4 linked regions of the Xenopus tropicalis genome follow. The protein of the gene in region 3 binds, or shares a complex with, the protein of the main gene of each other region. Links are inferred from orthologs where the notes say so. Each region holds a gene or a part of one and is shown on either strand. Other genes may lie near its edges.

Evidence for each region. The genes of interacting proteins can lie anywhere in the genome.
Region 1: cnot2 (region 3) and cnot8 share a complex: the UniProt entries of both Homo sapiens proteins name them as parts of the CCR4-NOT complex. The link is inferred for Xenopus tropicalis from reciprocal best matches to the Homo sapiens genes CNOT2 and CNOT8.
Region 2: cnot2 (region 3) and cnot11 share a complex: the UniProt entries of both Homo sapiens proteins name them as parts of the CCR4-NOT complex. The link is inferred for Xenopus tropicalis from reciprocal best matches to the Homo sapiens genes CNOT2 and CNOT11.
Region 4: cnot2 (region 3) and cnot7 share a complex: the UniProt entries of both Homo sapiens proteins name them as parts of the CCR4-NOT complex. The link is inferred for Xenopus tropicalis from reciprocal best matches to the Homo sapiens genes CNOT2 and CNOT7.

The regions. Positions count from the first base shown.
Region 1 is NC_030679.2:19,858,803-19,864,876, forward strand, and holds part of cnot8 (CCR4-NOT transcription complex subunit 8), read left to right. Parts: 5' UTR 1-30; coding exon 31-147; intron 148-2,497; coding exon 2,498-2,691; intron 2,692-3,759; coding exon 3,760-3,921; intron 3,922-6,074. UniProt on the Homo sapiens protein: Has 3'-5' poly(A) exoribonuclease activity for synthetic poly(A) RNA substrate. Its function seems to be partially redundant with that of CNOT7.
Region 2 is NC_030678.2:110,383,816-110,389,889, forward strand, and holds the end of cnot11 (CCR4-NOT transcription complex subunit 11), read left to right. Parts: coding exon 1-91; intron 92-496; coding exon 497-649; intron 650-1,050; coding exon 1,051-1,253; intron 1,254-1,361; coding exon 1,362-1,564; intron 1,565-3,498; coding exon 3,499-3,595; intron 3,596-5,222; coding exon 5,223-5,420; 3' UTR 5,421-5,736; downstream 5,737-6,074. UniProt on the Homo sapiens protein: Component of the CCR4-NOT complex which is one of the major cellular mRNA deadenylases and is linked to various cellular processes including bulk mRNA degradation, miRNA-mediated repression, translational repression during translational initiation and general transcription regulation.
Region 3 is NC_030679.2:59,346,471-59,352,544, forward strand, and holds part of cnot2 (CCR4-NOT transcription complex subunit 2), read left to right. Parts: intron 1-253; coding exon 254-333; intron 334-960; coding exon 961-1,086; intron 1,087-2,464; coding exon 2,465-2,589; intron 2,590-3,328; coding exon 3,329-3,449; intron 3,450-3,532; coding exon 3,533-3,689; intron 3,690-5,777; coding exon 5,778-5,839; intron 5,840-5,945; coding exon 5,946-5,995; intron 5,996-6,074. UniProt on the Homo sapiens protein: Component of the CCR4-NOT complex which is one of the major cellular mRNA deadenylases and is linked to various cellular processes including bulk mRNA degradation, miRNA-mediated repression, translational repression during translational initiation and general transcription regulation.
Region 4 is NC_030677.2:42,294,844-42,300,917, reverse strand, and holds part of cnot7 (CCR4-NOT transcription complex subunit 7), read left to right. Parts: intron 1-1,907; coding exon 1,908-2,101; intron 2,102-3,115; coding exon 3,116-3,277; intron 3,278-5,128; coding exon 5,129-5,273; intron 5,274-5,530; coding exon 5,531-5,641; intron 5,642-6,074. UniProt on the Homo sapiens protein: Has 3'-5' poly(A) exoribonuclease activity for synthetic poly(A) RNA substrate. Its function seems to be partially redundant with that of CNOT8.

The DNA.
Region 1 (6,074 bases), about 39 Mb from region 3:
CATCTCACTGGCCACCTTTCTGAATTCAAGATGCCTGCAGCAGTGGTAGATAATAGCCAAGTGATATGTGAGGTGTGGGCTGTCAACTTGGAGGAGGAGATGCATAAAATTAGAGAGCTTGTTCGCACTTATGGCTACATAGCAATGGTAAGTCTACATTAAACTGACACTTTGTCTGCGTGGGTATATTATTATATTACCCCCTTATCCCAGTTGCAATTGAGATGTATAGGGTTTTGGCTTTTGACAGGCCTATTGGGATTCATCAGGATTGCTGGTTGACTCTGACTAAAGGTGCCCATACACGTGAAGATTTGCTCGCTTGGCGATGTCGCCAAGCAAGCGGATCTTCACCTGATATCCCCACCTACGGGGGGGGAGATATCGGGGAACATGTAGGCTAATTTGATCCCTGGGGCCAAATGATTGAATTATAATGGCGGTCCCCGGTCCGACTAAATCTTTTAACCTGCCCGACCGTTGTTTCTGCCCCTACATGGCCTACAGTCGGGCCGTGTATGTGGACCTTCACTCTTTTTTGTGCACAAGTAGTGTCTGTGATCATAAGCCTTAAGTCTGTTTTAAGTATAAGTAGGGCTTGTGTCAAAAATGCATTGTGCACATTCCTTTAATACAAAAATATAATCAAGAGAGTTATAGAGATATAAAGGAAAATAACAACATATGTATAATTTAACCCCACCCTATCCCACAATGCTGCCTATGTAATATGCTAAGAGAAGGAGTTTGTTCTCTATACAGGAGTTTAACTGGTACAGGTGGTAACTACCCCTTTCCACAGCTGCTCTGAAGATCTTAGTAGGTAGGATCGAGTGTAAAGGTCAATGTGCCACAATGTATTTAGAGCCCTATTTATTGGATTTATATTGAACTTGGGTACATTTGTAAGCTTATTCATTGTATAAACTCACTGTTTGTACTATTGTACAGTGCTGCCAAATAAGTTTGCAGTTTACAGATGTGTTAATATTAAATGTAGCACTAATGTCCCACAGAGAGATTAGCCGCCCGTGATAAATCTCTGTTTCCGCAGGCGACTAATCTCTCCAAAATGCCCTTTTTACCGGCAACAAAAGGAATTGCCGGTGGAAAGGCCTACACATAGCTGCGGCCCTCCAGAATGATATTAGACCTTGCCCTACAATAGTAACAGAGTAACTTAGGTTAAAAAAGTACATTCATTTAGCTCAACCTTTTATTTATATATAAAATCTGCCTAACTGCTAGTTGTAAAAAGGCAAAAAAAAAACCATACTGAAGCCTTTCCAATATGCCCAGAGGGGAAAAATTCTTTTCTGACTCCAAGATGGAGACCAGTTCATGGATCAACTTTGACTAAAACCTGTATTCTCTCACTTGCTAAAAAGTCATCCATCCCCTTCTTTAAGCTGTCTAATGTATCAGCCATGTAACCACTTCAAGGAGAGAATTCCACAAACTTCACAACTTTTACTTTAAAACCCCTTTTCAATATTAAAATGGCACCTCCTTTATTCTAATCTGAATGAATGCCCTTGTGTCTGCTAAAAGGACTTCCTGGTAAATAATCATTAGAGAGTTTATTATATGGGACCTGGGGTTTTCCAAATATGGGATCTTTCCATGGTTTGGATCTCTATACCTTAAGTCTACTAAAAATATTAAATCAACTCAATAGGATTGAGAATGAATTAAATCTTGGGATCAAATACAAGGTACTGTTTTATTATTGCAAAGAAAAATGAAATAGTTTTGATATATTAGAATTTTTTGATTAATATGGAGTCTATGGGAGATGGCCTTCCCATCATTTAAAGCTTTCTGTATATTTAGTTTCCAGATAATGGAACCCATACCTGTACATAGTTATCATATCCCCCTCTTATCCAGTATAAACAATTTCAACTTGGTTAGGCTTTCATCATAACTGAGACTTCCCATACTTGTTACCAGCTTAGTTGACCTACTTTGGACTTTCTCTAGGTCCTTTATGGATTTGCCTAGTGCAGTCCCATTAAGGGTATAAGTGGCTGCATATTTTTACATCCCAGATGCATGACCTTACATTTATCCACATTCAGCCGCCCAGATTGTCAGTTTGTCAACATCTTGCTGCAAGGATGCCACGCCCTGGATGGAATGAATTGGGCTGCATAGTTTTCTCATCTGCAAACACTGAAACAGTACAAAACCCCCCTTTAACAAATTTATGAACAAATTATATAAAAATTTCATTAAAAAAATACCGTCTTGTCCAGATCTGCACCTATTCAGCTATACTGGGATTTGTATATCTGACAGCTTTAGAATTAATATAGGGACAAGGCTAAATGCAGGGAGGATAACATTTTCAAACAGCAGTAAAAGCCTTATCTTAATATCTACAATAGACCAACAAAGTCAGGGGTATTTGTTTACAGTGACTCATTTAATTAATTTTATAAGCCTACTGTTAAATTCAGTGTTCATATTTTTATTTTTACATGTGTTTTCTTAGGACACAGAGTTTCCTGGAGTTGTGGTGCGGCCCATCGGTGAATTCCGGAGCACAATAGATTATCAGTACCAACTATTGCGCTGTAATGTTGACCTTCTGAAAATCATTCAGCTTGGGCTTACTTTTATGAATGAAAAGGGGGAGTATCCACCTGGGATCAACACATGGCAATTCAACTTCAAGTTTAACCTCACGTATGTTTGTCCTTTTCCATGCTTTAACAACTGTGGGTCATTGTCTGCTAAGAACTTTGCTATTATGGTGCTATACACCCATTTCCTATGTATTGCAAGTAAATTGTTGTTGTAAGGGTTGCCACCTGCCCTGTATGATTTATACTTAATGCCAATGTTATAAATAGGATAAAAGGCAACATATATAAAGGCTGGTATCTATTTTAACAAATATGGCAACCCCAGCTATTAACCGCTGTTAATAATAACATATATACACCTTTATAACTTTCATTCCACTATCACTTTGGCCCTGTTCCTTGGAATAACACCAAAATGTATTAGATTTGTCTTTAAAAGTCAAGTAATAATTTAGTTCCCATTCAGTGATTTGTGAAGACACAGTAGTAGCAGCTACTTGTCATGGCTACTAAATGCTAGGTAATACCCTGCCATAGACAATACTGAGAATTGCCTCTGGTAAAACACATGTAAAGACAATTATTGGTAAATGATCAGCATTGTCTATTTCCGTAGCCCTGAAAAGTAGCTGCTACTAGTAGCTCCATATGTCTTCACTGTAAAGGTGTCCATACATGGACAAATTCAAGCTGCTGATTCGGGTCCTTCAGACTGATTCAACAGATTATCTGTCCATGTATGGAGTCCTCCAAGAGGCCTCCCCAATTGATGTCTGGCTGAAAATTGGGCCAAGCCTTGCTGTTTAGCTTTGGGATTCATTGAATTGCTCTTTTTTGTTTTTTTGTTTTGTTTTTTTAACTGATAAAACATGGGTTTAGAAAAACATTTTCTTTTACCCAAGCGCTTTTAAATGCAAAATTGTGTAAATGTATTGCTTGTCAAGGCTGAGCAGACACTTTACATTACTATGATATTTTGGGTATTAGAGGTATTTTAGGTGGCTGCCTTGTTAGGGTCATACTACTGCACCCACCCTTATGAATACAGATAGATATAAGACTCCTTTGCAGGCTAATCACTGAAGTGATTTCAGTCCAAAAAGGATATAATGCAGAAAATTTGCTGTAAATGAAAAAAGTAACATTTTGTGTATGGCTTCTGTTACAGTGAGGATATGTATTCTCAGGATTCTATTGACTTGTTGGCGAATTCTGGGCTTCAGTTCCAAAAGCACGAAGAGGAAGGCATAGACACCCTAACCTTTGCAGAGCTGCTCATGACATCCGGTGTGGTCTTATGTGACAATGTGAAATGGCTTTCATTTCACAGGTAGGGTTCAGCATTTCTGATACCTTTTATCTGAAAAGGACTTTGCTCTCCGTTGAAAACTAAAAACAACATCATTATAATTTTTAAAGGGTTTATTAAAAGACTTCATTCAAATGGGCTTATGCGGTTAAGGTATAGTTAATCAGCAGCTGCTATTAAACCCATGCATAATTAAATTGTCCTTATCTGTAAACCTGAGACACTGGCAGGGGTGAAGGGGACATAGTAATGGTAAAAAAAACCTGTAATCCTTTAGTCCTATATTCAAAAAAAAAAAAAAAATGTATTCTGTTTATTATCATTTTTAACACAAGCCTTACTTCATTTGCTCATGTTGAACATATTGTTTCTTTAAAGGCATGTTGTGGTTTTTCCTACAAACACATCCAGTTTTTTACAGGTACAAACAGTGATTCTTAACTTTTATTTCCTTGGTAATTAATAGCTACTTGGGTGCTGACTGCTGTGTCTTTCAGCCATGGATACAGGAATCCCAGTACTTTATTGTTTGCTTATACTTGATAATAAAAAGCAGAGCCACCATCTCTGGCCATTCGAAGTCCTTTTCCCAGCTCTTGAGTGACTTGGTCCATGCACAGTTTAAGCCTGTGCTCCTGGCAGAAAGCAGGGAAAAGTACAGTGGATATAAAAATCTACACACCCCTGGTAAAATGTCAGGTTCCTGTGCTGTACAAAAATGAGACAAAGATAAATCATTTCAGAACTTATTCCACCTTTAATGTGACCTATAAACTGTACCACTCAATTGAAAAACAAACTGAAATCTTTTAGGTGGAGGGAAGAAAACCAAAAAAACTAAAATAATGTGGTTGCACAAGTGTGCACACCCTTAAACTAATACTTTGTTGAAGCACCTTTTGATTTTATTACAGCACTCAGCCTTTTTGGGTATGAGTCTATCAGCATGGCACATTTTTACTTTGCAAGATTTGCCCACTTTTCTTTGCAGAAACACTCCAAATCTGTCAGATTGCGAGGGCATCTCCTGGGCACAGCCCTCTTCAGATCATTCCACAGATTTTCAATCGGATTCAAGTCTGGGCTCTGGTTGGGCCATTCCAAAACTTTAATCTTCTTCCAATGAAGTCATTCCTTTGTTGATTTGGATGTATGCTTTGGGTCGTTTCTAGCAGAAGCCTGAAGGTTTTGTGCCAATATTGACTGGTATTTGGAACTGTTCATAAATCCCTCTATCTTAACTAAGGCCCCAGTTCCAGCTGAAGAAAAACAGCCCCAAAGCATGATGCTGCCACCACCATGCTTCACTAAGGGGCTGATTTACTAATCCACGAATCCGAATGAGAAAAATTCAGATTGGAAAACGAACATTTTGCGACTTTTTTGTATTGTTTGTGATTTTTTTCATCGTCGTTATGACTTCTTCGTAAATTGTCGCAACTTTTTCGTAACCGTTACGACTTGCGCGAATTGTCGCGGCTTTTTTCATAGCCATTACAAATTTTGTGGATTGTCGCGACTTTTTCTTAGCCATGATGACTTTCGGGAATTGTCGCGACTTTTTCATAGCCATTATGACTTTCATGAATCGTTGCGACTTTTGCATAGCCATTATGACTTTCGTGAATTGTCGCGACTTTTGCATATCCATTACGACTTTCTCGAATTGTCGTATTGAACACTCGAAAAATTCGCGACAATTCGCGAAAAAGTCGCAAAATACAGATCATTACGAAAAAACGCATTCGGACGCTTTTTGGACGTTCGTGGATTAGTAAATGTGCCCCTAAGGGTATGGTGTTCTTTTGGTGATGTGCAGTATTGTTTTTGTGCCAAACATATTTTTTGGAATTATGGCCAAAAAGTTCAACCTTGGTTTCATCAGACCATAACACCTTTTCCCACATGCTTTTGGGAGACTTCAGATGTGTTTTTGCAAAATGTAGCCTGGCTTGGATGTTTTTCTTCATAAGAAAAGGCTTTCGTCTTGCCACTCTACCCCTTAGCCCAGACATATGAAGAATACGAGAGATTGTTGTCACATGTACCACACAGCCAGTACTTGCCAGATATTCCTGCAGCTCCTTTAATGTTGCTGTAGGCCTCTTGGTAGCCTCCCTGACCAGTTTTCTTCTCGTCTTTTCATCAATTTTGGAGGGACGTCCAGTTCTTGG
Region 2 (6,074 bases), on a different chromosome or scaffold from region 3:
TTTAAAAAGACACCCAGGCAGATTGCTGTGATGGATGTGACCAGTTTGGCTCAACCAGTGGACATTAGTGGACTACAGTTAGCTCTTGCTGGTAAGGCATTCGAAAACATTCAGATGAACATATTGGGGCTAAAGCTGTCTCATAAAGGCTCAACATGTTAACAAACATATGCTGAGCATTACTTTTGCCATTATAAAGCAGTAATTCCCCACTCTCCACTATAAACAGGGTATTTGTTCAGTGAGAGATAATTTTCTGGGGTTTCTGGATAAGAGATTATGTAATTCGAATCACTATACCTTACATCTGCTAATAATCATTTAAACTTAAGTCAAGTAAACTTAAGTAGAATTTTTTTGCTGCTCCTTTAGTACAAGGTACTGTTTTATTGCTGAGAAAAAGGAAATCATTTTTAAAAATTAGAGTGATTGTTTTTTGTTTTTTTTATTTTAAAGCTTACTTTGTTGTATCTGCTGACTTTCTATTTCCCTCCAGAGCGCCAGTCTGAGCTCCCAACACAGAGCAAAGCCAGCTTTCCCAGTATTCTTAGTGACCCAGACCCAGATTCTTCCAATTCCGGCTTTGACAGTTCTGTTGCATCGCAAATAATAGAAGCATTAGTCAGCGGCCCAAAACCACCAATTGAAAGTACGTTTTGTTTTATTGTTTGTATATGTGTCTAAAACCAAGGTTTTATATTTAGTTAAGTAGTTAAATATACATACATTTTGAAAAACTACTGTAAGAAGTGTATTGAAATGTCTTATTAGTTTGCTTCAAAAACCGTATCCGTCACACTTTATGGCCAAGATTCAAGCTATCTTTATAAAAGACCTTATTAATAAAAGTGGTCACAGATCCTATCCAGTATCCATAATGTACAGCACTGCAGGATTTGACTAGCATTTAGTATAGTTATCTTATGAAGACCTGATATCTTTATATCTGTCCTTTGCTAATTATGAATTGCACACAAATAAAGTTGCAATATTAAAAATTGCTGATACTCACACACAGTGTATCTGAACCTGTCTTTGTGATGTTTCTAGGCCACTTTCGCCCAGAATTTATCCGTCCCCCACCTCCTCTTCATGTTTGTGAGGATGAGTTAGCCTGGCTCAATCTTATAGAACCAGATCATGCCATTAAATGGGACCGATCCATGTGTGTAAAGAACAGCACTGGAGTGGAAATTAAGCGGATTATGGCTAAAGCATTCAAAAGCCCACTTTCCTCTCCTCAGCAAACTCAGGTAAAGAGTAATAAAGTACACAGTATTACCATGATAATATACACCAGATGAGTTAAACTAAGATTACGATTAACCAGTTTTTTTTTCTTCTTATATTCCTTTTGCTAGCTTCTTGGAGAATTAGAAAAAGACCCTAAGTTAGTTTACCACATTGGCCTCACTCCTGCCAAGCTCCCAGATTTGGTAGAAAATAATCCGTTGGTTGCTATTGAAATGCTGCTCAAGTTAATGCAATCAAGTCAAATAACAGAATATTTCTCTGTGCTTGTCAACATGGATATGTCTTTACATTCAATGGAAGTTGTAAATAGGTGAGTCTTTGTTTATTTCTTTTTCTAATAAAATATTTTGCAGGCACAGAACATGGTGAATTGAATATAGTAAGCCTCCAAGGAAATCTGCAAAAAAAACCAATAAACCGAGGGGGCAGATTTTTTAGAGGCTGGACACAAAAACACCTGCTTCTTATCACCAGAAGGGGGCATAAAATATATTTTTTTCACAATACAGTACTTTTTAAAGCATTTTCTTAAAAGATGCAAAACCATTTTTATAAAGTAAGATTTCCCATATATGTACACTTTTTTTGGTTCAAAGAATAGAATGAAATGTACCTGCTTAAAGCTAAATTATTTTATTAGCAGAGATGATTAAGAAAGGTAAATAACCAAGATTGTTAATAAGTATGAGACTTTGTCAGCCTCTGTTAAATCTGCCACTCACTGAACCATTAAGGGCTCTGGCACACGGGGAGATTAGTCGCCCGCAACAAAACTCCCTGTTCACGGGCAACTAATCTCCCCGGATTGCCATCCCACTGGCGAAAATGTAAATCGCCAGTGGGATGGCATACGCAGCGGCGCAAGTTGCTTCGAGAGGAAACATGTGCAATTTCAGTGAAATTGCGCCGCCGTGTATACCATCCCACCGGCGATTTACATTTTCGCCGGTGGGATGGCATTTCGGGGAGGTTAGTCGCCCAAGACACGGGAGATTTGTCGCGGGCGACTAATCTCCCCGTGTGCCAGAGCCCTAAGAAGTCATTCATGTTCATTTACATCTGCTGACAAATATACTGACCTGCAACTCTGAATTAATTTTTTCTTTTGTTGCTTGGTTCATTATAAATTCATTAACTAATGCACATTGAGCATGGGATTCCACACCAATTTATGATATCAAAGGTGTGTTGCTTTCTATATATTTTACTCCTGCTGTGTTTCGTTTTGTCTTAATGCTTTCACCTCAATTCTTAAGCTGGCCTCACACGTGGCGATTTTCGATCCAACCCTCCACTGACGTTCAGCGCTGAATCGTCAGATATGGAGGTAGAAACAATAGGATTTCTACCTCCAGCCCTGAACATAGATTTTGCTCGGGCACAAAATCTTTTAACCCACCTGATCGGCAAGTCGTCCAATATCTGCAGCTTTTTTGCAATATCGGTTGCCTTGTTGAGTTGCCATACATGCACCGAATATCGTACGAAACGAGGTTTCGTACAATATTATCGGTGCGTGTATGCCCAGCGTTAGACAGGATTGCTTTTCCTGATCTCATAGGCCTAGTTCTGATACTTTATAACCTAAATGTGCACCACAGAATTAAGTGCCGTAAGCTTGTTGGGTGGTTTTTCTTTTGCATTATATCTGCTTTTACACTCTACTTTGTGTATACATTTTATTCAAACCAGCCTTTTTAGCTGTGTTTAGTAAAACAAAGAATGTGCATGGGTGCCATAAATTGAAAGTAAAGTTTTGTGTAAATACAATCAAATAAAAACATTTACCAGGGCCCCTTAAATGTATGCTGGTTAGAGTTCATGGACAAAGTTAAATACCAAGTATAAAGTGCATGCTGCTGCTGTATAACAGTATGGTTCAGTGTATATGTAAAAATGTAAATACCTTAATGAAGTATAAATATTTAATATCTAAATCATGTTGTCATTGCTTAAATTTTTTTACAGTGCAATTTAAGATTGAAATGTATTTTGTTGCTATTATTGTTGTGTATCCCAACGCTGTTTAGCTTTAGTGTACCCAGAACTTGAGCTTCTAGTGCGGCCAATCTCCTTTTTCTTGTACTTTCTACCTTGAGGTGGCACACAATACAGTACTCTACGATGAGTAGGGAGACCTGCGGAGAAACCCATGAGTTAAATAGTAGGGAAGCAGCCTATCATCTATATGGTCTTGTTCCTTAATCTGTTTTGTTTTTTATAAACTGTTTTTCTTCTTTTAAGACTTACAACAGCAGTGGATCTTCCTCCTGAGTTCATTCACCTTTACATTTCAAATTGTATATCCACATGTGAGCAGATTAAGGACAAGTATATGCAGGTAAGAAACATGCAAAACATGATACTATCCATTCAGTTAAAGGCTATTTGATTTCTTATCCAGAAGATGGAAAGACAGTTTAGTGCTTTTTTAATGGTGACTAGCGCTTTGAAAAGTCCCAGCAGGCATAGCTCAGGGGTGAGTACTGGGAATGGTTTTGCTGCAAGGGATGTCATCCTCTCCATTAAAAAGCGATTAGATTAAAACTCTCATAATAAATGGAAAATGGAGATATCCAGCTATGGATATATTTACTAGCCTGATTTTTATGATGTAATCTGGGACACTCTTTCATTAACCACATCAATTTGCCCCTGCATGCACCATGAGTGGGCTCCAATTGGGGGGTGCAGCACATGATTCGGGACATTCCTAATAAATTCTATTGTTTTCCCCGTTTTTGTGATAGATTTTTAATGGTGTACTTCCTGGCATAGTCAAAAGAAAAAAATAGCAATAGGGCCTGTGATGTTGCCCATAGAAACCAATCAGATCTTTTCTGTTGTTTTCTAACTTGTAGGTGACTGTCTAATTGGCTGGTTTGTCTCTGTTAATAAAAATGCCCCCAAATGTAAAGAAATAGGGGCTCACATATCAAATTTTACAAGATTCCTGTACGTTTTAATAGAGGCTTGAATTGATAGGGCAGTTCAAAAGAACCTTTAGATATTGTTTAATCTCCTAGGATTAGTTATTCTAAACCAGCCAAAACAACAGCTGTTTGTGTCAAATGTCACTAAAGGCTACTGGCAGTGATTTTTTTGTTCATATATATATATTTATTGATCCGTATTTTCTGTATTGTACTTTTGTTTAGACACTTAACGTTAAAACATTAATCACATCCTGCTTTTCTTTGCATTATGACTAAAGGTCTTATGTGTTAGTTAAAGTATGAATTGCCCTGTATGCCAGGTGCTCCAGTAGTTTTGCATAGCTACTAAAACTTATAAAAAAAGAGGCAAACAGTTTATTTGCAGAGAATTAAAAATGAGTCCTTTGTAAAGGGAATTGGTCATTATTTTGCAACTGAAGAAGAGGGAAATGGTTACGTAAAACTAGTTGCTACAGAAGAAAGGGGAAAACAACCAAACATGGGTGTGCTGTGCTCTTATTTGACCTTTTTGATATATAATACTGTGTGGCCTCTTGTATATGGACACCACTTATAATTAGTGGAATTGATTAAGCTATGCCCATCATTGCTGACACAGGTGCCACTTGACAGTTCTTATGGCTTTTTGGTGCTAGTTTGGGGAAGTCTCTATTTGAGCAGGATTAAGCCCCCGTTTTAGAATATGTTGGACAGGCAGGTGTCCACCTACATTTGGCATTATAATGTATGTATGTTTTCCCTCCTTCCTTCTGAAACATTATCATGACTTCCTAATCAGATATTTCTTATTTTTATCTGATGTTTCTTAACATTTGGATTTTAGAGCTCTGGATTGACATTATTTCTGTGCTGACTTCCCAAGTACATGTATTTGATGCTGATGTTGACAATATTGTGTGTTTCATTTGCTGTAAACTCCAAATGTATTGTGTGGGGAGAGCTACAATTCATGTCATAGCTTTTCATGTATTAACATGCTAATGTATTTATTTTTTTGTTCATCTGTTACAGAATCGTTTGGTGCGATTAGTTTGTGTTTTCCTCCAGTCCTTGATTAGAAACAAGATAATCAACGTCCAGGACTTGTTTATAGAGGTGCAAGCTTTCTGTATAGAGTTCAGCAGGATCCGGGAAGCAGCCGGCTTGTTCAGGTTGTTAAAAACTTTGGACACTGGAGAAAACCCTTCAGAGGCAAAGCCTTCAAAATAAGATTTTTCTCATTGCCTTTGTAAAGAAACTGCTATCTGTAGATGGAGTCTTGTAAATTAACTTTTTTTTTTTTTTAATATTTCGTTTTAAGCATTTTGATGTACTGTGCTCAGGGCATAGTGTATTCCTACAGTTTAAAAGCATTTTATGCCCAGTAAATAGTTTTTCACCTGTACACTTTAGGGCAATTCCAGAAATACTTTTTCCTAAATATTTAAATTTGTAAATATTCTGTGACTGTTTGTTGGCTGGTTCGGGCTACATTTCCATGACTAATAGGTGTTGGAATAAAATGTACTCTTCTGATGCCCTTACAGAACTGTGAAAGTATTCTTGTTCATTGTTCAAAAAGAACAATGTTATTTGCAGGCAAACCGCTGCATTTATTACAGCTATGTGCATAGCTTTTTCTTTACTGGATACTTAGTTGATGGCATGCTATCACATTGCTGATTAAATTTGCTTTACTGCTTGAAACAGAATTAGGATGAAGCTCCATGCCTGTCCTGCCTGCACAGGGTGCTGTCATTTGGCACTGTGAGCTGTTGCCCTACTATACAGGTATGATAGTTAAGAAAAATTATTATTGCTCAACAAACTGACTGACTTTAATTTTTCAGTTAAAAATTTTGTCCACTTGGTATGACATTAGTC
Region 3 (6,074 bases):
TCTGGTTCATAACACTGTTGGCAGCAAAAAAACAAAAATGTATATTTTGAATTCTGTTGAAAGAGAAAAAAGTTGTTCTTTGTTATAATATTTAACACAGTAATCACAGTGAGGTTTGTGTACAATTATCCAAAATGAAGTATTTTAAAGAAAAAAAAAACACACAGAAGTATTTCTTTAGAAGAATAATACAAAAAAATGTGTTATTGCTGTTAGTCCCTAAACTCACCACTCTGTTTCTTTGATCCCACAGCATGTCTGGGTTTGGAATGAGCAGGAATCAGGCTTTTGGTTTGAACAATTCCTTATCGAATAACATATTTAATGGAACAGGTATGTTATCTTTTAGACAAACTTTTCATTTTTTTTTTTTTTTTTTTTTTTTACAGTTTAATGTAATACACTATATTAAGTTTTCCCCCATTTAGTAACCCATAGCAACCAATCAGGTGTTTGTTTTAAAACGCTGAACATTAAATGCTACCCGTTAATCAGTGCTGTGGGTACTAGACAAGTAGTAAAGTTACAACTGGGATAAGCATGTGCTGTGTCAAGTAATTTAGTCCAGGAACAGATGTTTTATTTTACTGAAGGAAAAGTTGCAGTCACTCTATAAACACCAGTTGTTAATTCTTATTGTAAATGGAATAGACTTCCCTGTGGCCCTCTGAGATTTCTGTAAGCTGCTGTCTCTCTTTAGTGCAGACTAGCAAAACGTGCTTAATTCCATAACAGTTTGCCATGAGGCAGCTGATGCCTATTTAGTATGTGCCATGGAGCAGCTGTTTTTTATTCAGTAGAATGGAAATCTACCGGGAGTGGTGTTATAATCGCCATGGTGTTTTCTCTCTTTCATTCTGTCTCTTTTTCTCTCTCTATATAGGATAAAGGTCCGAGGTGAGGACCGATATACACATATATATATATAAATATATATAAACAATTGCTGTTTTCTTTTAGATGGAAGTGAAAATGTGACTGGACTGGACCTCTCAGATTTTCCAGCATTAGCAGATAGAAATCGAAGGGAAGGTAGCGGCAACCCTACTCCGTTAATAAATCCATTAGCCGGAAGGGCTCCTTACGGTGAGACTTTTATGTTTGAAAAGGACCAGTAACAAGAAAAAATTAAAATTCTATATATTGTTATACATTATACCTGTCAGACAGCTGGATGTTATTTTATTTCAATGTGGAGAATTTTCCAAATCCTTTTTACTGCATGCAGTGTGCATTGATCAGTAAGGATTTTGAATAGCATTAGAATGTATACAGCACAGCTCAGAAACAATGCTGTGCACCAATACTCATTGGAAATGATAGCTTAAAGCAATACTGTAGTTTCTAGTGAATTGACACAGGTACCAGCTTTGATAAACCATCCTGCCAGTTTGATGAGTCCAAAACAAATCAAACAGTAGTGGATCCTTCTGGATTCCCTCAGTATTTAATAAATCAGTTTCACTATTCCAACTAGTTTATAACATGCTATTGAAAGTGCAACTCCACACTGTTTCACTGCAATAAAGTTAGAGTACAGGGTGGTGTGACTGTTAAGGTACAGTGTGTTTAAATGTGTAAAAAGTCTTAAAATGTGATACTTAAAAACCCAATTAATATGACTATTTTTGTGTACTTTGATGGAACAATACTATATATTATTGTTTGTGTAGTATTAGAGGTGCTGTTCTAATAATGTAGTATTACACAACAGACTATATGGTGTCTTTACGTAAAAGCTGATATATAAAAGAACATTTTTTTTATGCCCACTGTAAACTATAAACACTTAATTTAAGGTAAAAATGACCTGATCTACAAATAATGTTGCTTACATCACTAGTATGCACAGATTTCCCCCCCAAAAAAATAAATGGTTCTTTTCTATGTTTATATATGCTATTTGAATCATACTCTTTATCATTGAAGCATATGAGATGTGTTTTCAAATTTTAGACTGTGTTCCTTCAGTTTTCTTGTAGTTTAACATGTTTGTTGCTATTATGTCTTAGGCCTGGGTGCAGAGACACACAGCAGATATTGGCAAACAAACGCAACATTTTAGAGCTGATACCTGTCGCGTGTGCCTGCAGCCGGGCCAACCCCATGGTTCCAGGTGCAGGAAAAGTAAAAGGCTGATGATAGGGTAGGGACTGATTCCCAGACTGCTTATTTCTGCCTGCCAAAAATCAGCCTTATACTTTTAAATTATTTTTGTACTAGGGGACTTGTGTTATCTGACTAGTTTGTGGGTTGATACTGGTAAAGGCTGGCCTTTTTGGAATTTAAACTTAGCTTCAGGTGATGTTCTCTGGCTTTCAAGCAATTCCCAACTATCACAGTAGGATTCAGCAATGGGCAGTAGTTTTCTAGGTGTTAAAAGCAAAGCAGACAAAACCTGGCACATAGGCCTTTCGGGGAATGGTCAATAAAAACGAAACCTATTGTTATTTATCTTTTGCAGTTGGAATGGTTACAAAACCAGCAAGTGAGCAGTCTCAAGACTTCTCAATACATAACGAGGATTTCCCTGCATTACCGGGTTCCAGCTATAAAGATCCAACATCAAGCAATGATGATAGCAAATCTGTAAGTACATTTATTAGCTGCAAGTAGTTATCAGTATATTTCAACTGTTTTACAATTCTACTATTTGTTTTCTTTCGTAACAAAACAATGTATCTCTAGACTTGAAACCAGGTAAATGATTACCTCTAACAATATATATTTTTTGAGGTTGATATTACATATCCTCATTAGATTTCTTTTTTGTAATTAACATTTCTCTGCATTTGTGGTATTTATCCCAAAACCCATTATCTATAAAGCTCTGATTTATGGGAATGTCATCTCCCATACAGTCAAAAGCAATTCCAGTTGTTTTAAATTATTTCATTTTACACTGTAATGATAAACTGTACCTTGTAGTTGATCTTAAAATTCGACATCCTCTCCTGCCGAGCAAGATCAAAACAAATCAGTCCACTAAGAAGTTTCTACAATGAAATATTCTTTATCTAAAAAGATAACAGGCTGTAGCTGGTGCAAGGGAAAGGTTGGTGTATATTTACTGGACTGGTGATTTGTTTTTACCTTGCTCTAAGTGGAATGTATCTTTAGTTTTTAATTTATCAATGAAAATTGATATAAAAAGAACACACACATACAGTATTTCCTAACATGCCTGAATCACAGAATTGATTGATTTGGAAACATTGAGCATATCAGCTGCATTTAAAGAGCATTGATAGCCAGTTTGTTTTGGATGCACATTATAGTGCTTATTTTATTATGAATAAAACCAAACCTATATATTTGCTTTGTATAGAATTTAAATACACCAGGAAAGTCTGCCTCAAGTACAGATGGGCCCAAATTCCCTGGAGACAAAAGTTCCACAACGCAAAACAACAACCAGCAGAAAAAAGGCATTCAGGTTTTGCCAGATGGTAAGTATTGTGTAACCTGTATTAAGTAAATTTATTTTATAATCACTTTGGAGCACTCATTTTTTTTTCATGTTTTTGTCAAGGGCGAGTTACCAACATTCCTCAAGGCATGGTAACAGATCAGTTTGGCATGATTGGCTTGTTAACATTCATCAGGGCAGCAGAAACAGATCCAGGAATGGTACATCTTGCATTAGGAAATGACTTGACAACACTAGGCCTCAATCTGAATTCTCCTGAGTAAGTGACACCAATGAGTACAGATTTCTGTAGCTGTCATCAAAGTTGTCATGCTGAATAAAGTTGTGTTAGCATCGTATTCACTGATAACCCTGTAATGTATGATCTAGTGTTTTGAAGACTGCATTCCCTGTCTTGTGTTATGATTGTGATTCTAAATACCTGCATAGCATGGCAGTAGACTTGCAGGACAAGAAGATCCTCTAGATATGAAAAGACTATTAATATCCTTACTAGGGAAGCCGTGAGAGGCTTTAACCGAACTAACTAGAAAGGTGAGCAATCAGCTTGAAGCACCTTTCTAATTTGTTCACCTGCTGTTCTATTCCTACAATCCTATTCCTTACAATGCTTAGATGCATGGTCTGAAGGCAGCCATACATGGGCCCAACCTATACAGTATATGATTGATTGGCCTGTTGACTTAAGAGCTCTTACTGTTCAACCAATCACAATGTTGTATTGTCTGTTGTTTTTATTAATAGTTTTTCTGTTTGCTTGTTTTTTTTCCCCTCAGTGAAGCATGTTTCTTTAGCTGCAGAACAGGAATACATTGCACACTGTTTTTAGATCTATGCTTAAACTAAATGTCAGTCTTGCAGATATTGTTATTATATCCCTCCCTGTATTAGTATCTTTCAGCCAATATTATCAGCTACAGTAAAAGTGAGACTGTGTTAAAGGAGAAGGAAAGGCTAATAAAGAGTTAATCTCAAGCTGCAGGCATACCTTCAGTTCTCTCAATAGTGCCCTTAAGTCTCCCCATATTTCTCCTGTTCAGATGATCAGAAGCCTATAGGAAAAAAAAATGCTGAGCTCTGTGTAAAAAAAAAGTTCCCATAATGCCTTGCTCCTGCACCAAGACCAAGACTAGTGTACATGCTCAGTTAGTAAGACTATGAGGAAGCTTCCTGCTGATTGGCTCAGATCGCACTTTCCTATGAGGGGGAGGGAGTTCTTAGCATTCTTGAGGGAGGGGGGAGCAGGAGAGAGAAGAGAGCTTGCGTGTATCTGGCAGAGGAAGTGCATCATCTTTCCAACTGCATTTCAGTTGTAAACTGAAGTGTTCTACATTGTATTTTAGATTGCATAAGGCATTTTTAATGACAGTTTATTTATTTGTAAGCATGTTTAGTTTTTAATTAAAGAGGGATATTTTTTCTTATGTAGTGAGTTGATTGAACAAAATATACCATAGAATGAAGATGTGATAAATGAAGTCTGTGGAAGTGTTAGGCTGTCAAAAATATCTCTTGTAGGGCGTAATTCTGCTTGCAGGTAGGGTTGGCACTTTTTCTGTAATGAGAGCCAGTATTTCTAATTTTTCTTCAATATTTATAACACTGGCGTCTACCATGGTTTTAACTGGCGGGACTCAAACAATAATGACCAAGTGGCACTGCTAAAACTATGGCAGGCCAACTATTGAAAAAAAGGTTTAAACACTTCTTCATTTAATACATCAAATTAGTGGCATTCCCTCACCTCCCTATTTAGTTAGCCTGTTAACGAATTCCCTGTTTTTTTAATAATATTGTTATCCCACATTTCTATAGCACCATTATATATAGCACAACTATACAGACAAACCATACAGTCATATAAATTCATAACCATAAGGTTCCTACTGTAGGTAAATAAATAAGTACCCAACAGGGTCACTTTTATCAGGAGCTAGTTAATCTGCCTGTATGTTTTTAATTCTCAGTGTGGCATTGGGATTGAGACTGAATGGGAACTAATCAAAAACACTTATACTGTGTCTCCTTTTTTACCATAAAGGGGACTGCAAATCTCAGGAGGGGGTTGGAAAAATATAAACAAACCATGACCAACCCGAAATGATTTATTTAATGAATCAAAGTGTACTTGTTTTTTTTGGGGGGGATTATAGAGGCTACGGTGTGTCATAAATGGGAGAAATCGCTATGACTTTTTCATATAGAATTCTGGTTACCATATTTCTAGGGTATATTTTACAGATGCAAAAAAATTTACCTGTCTTTACAACATTTGCATGGGTTTATAGCGTAAACCTTATTTTTTGAACAAACACCTCAAGTTTATTTGTTTTAATTTTGCACCCAGAAATCTATATCCAAAATTTGCGTCACCGTGGGCATCTTCACCCTGTCGGCCTCAAGACATTGGTATGATTAAAATAAAATTAAAAAAAAGTTATTCACTTGCATGTATAATAAAAAAATTGCAGGATTTCTACATTTCTAATAAATGTTTTTATTCCCATGTGTTCAGATTTCCATGTCCCCTCGGAGTATTTAACAAATATTCATATTAGGGACAAGGTCAGTATTGTTTCATGCTCTATTACATTTTAATGCATTTCAATATACATGCATAACTGAAAGATCATATCTGTTTTTT
Region 4 (6,074 bases), on a different chromosome or scaffold from region 3:
GTTTTTCATTTTTGAAATTGGCATTAAGAGTTCAGGAATATTTAAGATTTTATAGATTTTTGAGTCTCCTCAAAGGGGAACCTATTTACTGTTTATAAGCAATCCTTGCTTGCAGTATCTGCCACACTGCTTCCGCTGTCAGGGTAATATTATATCAACTATAGACTCTAATGGCCCAATGTTTCGTGTGACATAACAATAATAGAATAATTAATTTACTTTAATATGCAATATAAGTACTTGTTTACATTAAAATATTAATATTTTTTTTGTCCAGTACAATGGGTTCGGTTTATATTGCAGTTATAATTTTTCTAGTGTGTAGAAACAAGTCAGGCTGCTTACTGCACTTATTTGTTAAAGATATTTCTAAGTAGAACTAAAGCCTAAAAAAAAAGAATATGGCTAGAAATGCTGTATTTTCTATTCTAAGCTAATTGTAGCAGCTTTATGATAGTAAAGATCCATGGGCTCAACTGCTAAAGGTGTATGGTGGCCATGGTCTGGTAAGGTGCCTGCCATTGGGTAGGCTAGGTAGCAACTAAAACTCTTAGAATAGTGGCACACGGTGCTGTTTCAGGGACTTTGATTAACATATTTTTAAAGGAGAACTTTACTTCCGGATGGCACTCTTTGCCTAGACCCCCCCCCCACCTCTCCCATATCGCATTGTTTTCAAGTTTACACTCTGTCCCTATTGCTGACTGCTAGCTAAAAATGCAGACAAGCGCAACCGCGTACCTCGCCAACATCTTACCGACTGAAGACTCTTTGGGTCTCACAGCCGACACCTAACCTGCTTGAGAATGCGCAGTTGAAGCAGATTTCCTGCTACCTACAACTACTCATGCGCAAGCAGGTTCGTATCGGCGGTGAGACCCAAAGTGTCTTCAGTTGGTAAGAAAATGTCGGCCAGGTACGCGGCTGCGCTTCTTTGCATTTTTAGTTAGTGATAGGGACAGAGTATAAACTTAAAAACTATGCGATAAGTGAAAGGTGAGGGGGTCTAGGCAGTGATAGTTAATGGTGTGTTTTGCACCCAGGTGTATAGTTCTCCTTTAAGTAGCCCAAAAACTTGAAGACAAAATTTCCACAGAGTTTTATTGAAATCAACTGATGATAGTTTGTGTCAGAGTTTGCTAGATGAGAGTTGCCTGTAAAAGTGTACAGATGCTATCTAATAAATTATGTAGACGCAGCAACACATATATAGTGAATAAAGTACCTATTATTGTAAAATATAGGGATATTATAAGTCACAGAGGAGTTCCATAACCATATAAAAGCACAAGGCCGTGTGCTCTTAAACAGGTCATGGAACTCTGAGGTGACTTCTAATATCCTCATATTTTACAACACGGGGTACTTTATTATAATATATAAGTTATAGTGAGTCATATGACAGAAGTTACATCACTAAACTATGATTTTAACTGAGGACATCACTTAGCACCGTTTATAAGGATATAATGTACAGCTTAGTCCCATAGGGAAATGACCAAACTGTATATTATAACAAGATCATTTCAATATTTGTCCTACCTATATTATTATAGTAGAAAATATAATGTGGAATCTCTAATACTGCCATAGCTATTGCTGTCTGTGAAAGCTAAGCTATAAAACAAGATTAGGCAACTTTCTTGACAGGGCGGAAGTACAAAGCGCATAAGGAAATGCAGGGGACAAGATTAACTGGACATGTTAACTGGACAAATCTGACGATAAGAAGGCATAAAAAGTAAATATATGTATTTTGTTTAAAGATATCTCTTATTTCGACACACTGTTCCAAATTATTCAGAGGTATCTTAAACATTATTTTTCCAAGTGCTACTGTTTTGATGAGCACATCCTTACAACCACCTTTAAAGGTTGCAAATTATTTGTCGCATTATCCATTGCAGGACACAGAGTTTCCAGGAGTTGTTGCAAGACCAATAGGGGAATTCCGAAGCAATGCTGACTATCAATACCAACTTCTTCGTTGTAATGTTGACCTGTTAAAGATAATACAATTGGGTCTGACGTTTGTGAATGAACAAGGAGAATACCCACCAGGAACCTCAACGTGGCAATTTAATTTTAAATTTAATTTAACGTAAGTTGCACAGATTATCTATATTTATTAGAATTAATAGAAGTAGTGGCAAAAAGTTATATTAATTAAATAGCTTAAAATATTTCATTTTTTAAATTAATGTTGTAGTTATCTAGTTACCTACAAGCATACATTTACTAATAGTTGAAGATAATGTAAAAAGTATTGATTGCTAGAATGCATATCAGTATGTCCTGCAGTGGGTGCAAGCCTCTGTTCTGTGATTTCATGTGAGTTTACCATAGTCTCAGCCGGAAACTTGCAGCCCCAGCCCCAATTACTACCTCTAGTTTAAAGGGCAACTAGATTAGCCAACATCTAGAAGCAAGCAGGAGATATAGGGAGGATAACACGACCTGCATAAGGTTTCTGCTTATGGAAAGCAGTACAGCAACCAATCCATTATTCCCCAAAAGCAAACTTTATGCGCTATTTTAACAGAAATATAGTGTAACTATAATAAAAAGCTAAAAAGAAACGTTTTGGAGCCACTACGGAAAACAAATATTTTTATAGATATGTTTATGCTGTGTTTATGCTTGTTTTCACTTTGAGTTCTTTCTATAACCAGATACTTATAGCAACATGGAATGGAAACTGGCTTATTTAAATAGGAAATGCCCTTTGTTTATAAGTCGTTTTTAAAATGATTTCCTATAACTAGCAAAATATAAGAATAATATTGATTATATATGCATTTTAGACTGACAAAGGCATATATTATTTGCTGCATTACCAAGTCCAACTCTGCTGTTCCTAAAGCTGTATCTGTTTGCTATGGTCAATATTGTAGCAGAGATAATAATATTTCAGAGATGGGATTAATGTTCTTACTAAATATTTGTTGTGGCAATAAAATTACATTTAAACTAGGAAGGTGAGGACACCATCATAACAGATGCACTTAGTCCTATTAATTTTGTTAATGTACATTTGCTGTATATTGGTAAATTGAGTCTGTGAAATCTTGTATCAGATCTCTGTATAGGAGACTTTCTATGGTCTCTTCTGCAGGGAAGACATGTACGCCCAAGATTCTATAGAGCTGCTCACATCCTCCGGGATCCAGTTTAAAAAGCATGAGGAAGAAGGCATTGAAACCCAATATTTTGCAGAGTTATTTATGACGTCTGGGGTAGTCCTTTGTGAAGGAGTAAAATGGCTTTCCTTTCACAGGTAAGTTACACTGTAATATTAAATGGCCATTAATATCCTGTAAATTATATCCTTAATAAACAGTGCTTAGTGTTGACATCAGTTATAATTGGTGCTTAGTGAAGTCATTTTTGTTACATGACTCACTGAAACCTGTGTATTGTAATAAATAAAGCACCCCCTTTTGTAAAATATGAGGATATTAGAAGTCACCTTGGAGTTCCATGACCTGTATAAAAGCATAAGGCCAAAGGTACATTATTTACTATATAATACACAAGTTTTATGAATATCCTGTAAATTATATCTGTATAATCAGCTAACTGATGTCATTGCTTAGAGTGGGCAAAAGTCCCTAAAACAAGAACTAAAAGACATGTGAACCCTTACATTTTTCTACCATGTTTTTAAGTTGGGCTCTTTTTTCCCACCCCCACTGCATCATTTGAACTGCATATATTCCCTCTTTTCCAGAACCATCACATTTTCATAAAACAAATAGCAGCTTTCACCAGATGGCCATTTTCTCTCTGACATCATCTGGGACATTTACATCTGCAAACAGCACATGTAGACTGTAAAGTTCATGCAATGAAAAATGCAGGCTTACATAGGCAGAACTTACTGATAAAAAGTCCTGCTTTAAACAGTTAAACTGAGCTCAGGACAGGAGGTTAGAAGAAAAAAAAAACATGTTTCTCCAGCAAAGTGCCATCTCTTCATTGGCTGCTAGACTGGAGGGTGTGTTTGGTAACCTGAGTTGAGAAGAACTGAGCATGCTCAGTAAGCCAAGAGCCAGAGCAAATACCTACAGGAGGGGGAAGTGGCTTAGAGGAGGAGAAGGAATCCTAAGTGATTAAGGGGATGCTGCTGCCTTACTATTAACCTTTGAACAACGCGTGTGTGTGTGTGTGTGTGTGTGTGTCCAAACTTCCTGTGTTCCTATGTTTTTAAAGTGAAATGTAATGGAACTATGTGTCAACATTTGCATATATGTTGTCTTTTAACACACTGCCTAACTAAATGTCATTTGGCAAGGGGTGCCTAAACTTTTGCATTCAACTATATGACTATGTATAATATGAGGATATTAGAAATCACCTGGCAGTTCCATGTTTAAAAGCACTCTGCTTTTGGCAATGAACCTTTACATTGCCATGTGATTTCTTCTTGTTACAATTTACTAGAGGGCTATTCTATCCAAGTATACCTCTGTCATCTCAATACAAGCAAGAGAAGCAATGCTCTTCCTCCAGTAAATTATGTTGGGAAGCATCATCTCTATTCTGGAAGTTTCCACTAGAGATCCTGTATTTTTTTAGTCTGCTGCTTTCCTCAGCAGTTCTTTTATTGCAGTGTTGTTCTTTTCTACACAGGATTTGGCGCACTCTGTGCAATCAGAACAATGAGACGGTCTTTGTCAGGTCATTGTTTTACCATAGTTGCTTACCCTTTCTACTATAGAGCAATGCCCTCTATTCATAATGTGTTATGTCACATTGCACTGTATGTTTGTAATGAGCTAGGCTGAACATTTAATAATATTATCAACATTATCTTGATATAATACGCAAGAGCCATGAATTCCCAGTGAATTATATCCTTATAATTGATTATAGCAGTTATAATTGTTGTAATTTCTGTCACATGACTCACTATAAATATAATAAACAATGTACCCCCTGTTCTAAAATAAAGTCACTTTGGAGTTCCATGACTGGTACTGCAAATGTTATTTGCCTATGTAGAATTTAAAAAGGGACATCTGATGATTAAAAGCATACATGCATTAATACACATAAGCCAAACTTGTCTGTGACTGTAAATGTGTTCCTTTTTTCCTGATCTTTTCTGTACCCCTTCCCATTGCAGTGGCTATGACTTTGGCTACCTAATAAAAATTCTGACAAATTCAAACCTGCCTGAGGTAGAACTAGACTTTTTTGAAATCCTGCGCCTGTTTTTCCCAGTGATATACGATGTCAAATACCTGATGAAAAGCTGCAAAAATCTCAAGGTGGGTGAGACTAAAATGCACTGGCCTTATTTTGTAAACCATGGTGGAAATCTGGGTACTTTTCTTCTAAAATTCTTTTAGCTAAATATTACTCATTAGTTTGGTTTTGGTTTTGGTTTCTACAGCAGACCAGCAGCCATTGTGTCGTAGATAGAGATGAATCAAATCCATCATTTTTGGATTCCACTACAAGAATTAATAGAGGGACATGGTATTTGGGTTGTATTCTGTAAAACTTTCCCATTGTCTCCTGGCAGGGTGGATTGCAGGAAGTGGCAGAGCAGCTGGAACTCAAGCGTATTGGTCCTCAGCATCAAGCAGGCTCTGACTCATTACTTACTGGAATGGCATTCTTTAAAATGAGAGAGGTAAGTTCACATGTTATTGATATGCTTGTATGTGGTAATTTTGAAGTTGGGAAGGAAATATTAGAGTAGTAGCTAATGCCAACATAAAGAAACCACTAGCAAAATAGCTTGGAAGCCCCTATTCCTTAAATCAACCCTGCATGATCCCCTTTATATGTAGTGGTTTGGCCCCTGATATTTCCTGTCCCTGCAGGCAGCTTGCGCCTTGGCAGGGGTCTGGGGTTTACCTGCTCCTGGGTGACTTTAGATGCATGTGTGTGAGATGCCTAGTTCAGCCCATAAAATTGTGCATTCTTTTAGATGCCTCTGACATGTCCAGAACCTATTGTGATCAATCAGTTGGCCAGTCAGAGAATGTGTAGCACTAGTAGTTAGGGGGGCATGCAGACATGTTACTTATATACTCAAGTGGTTGTAAGTATCTTTGAATTAC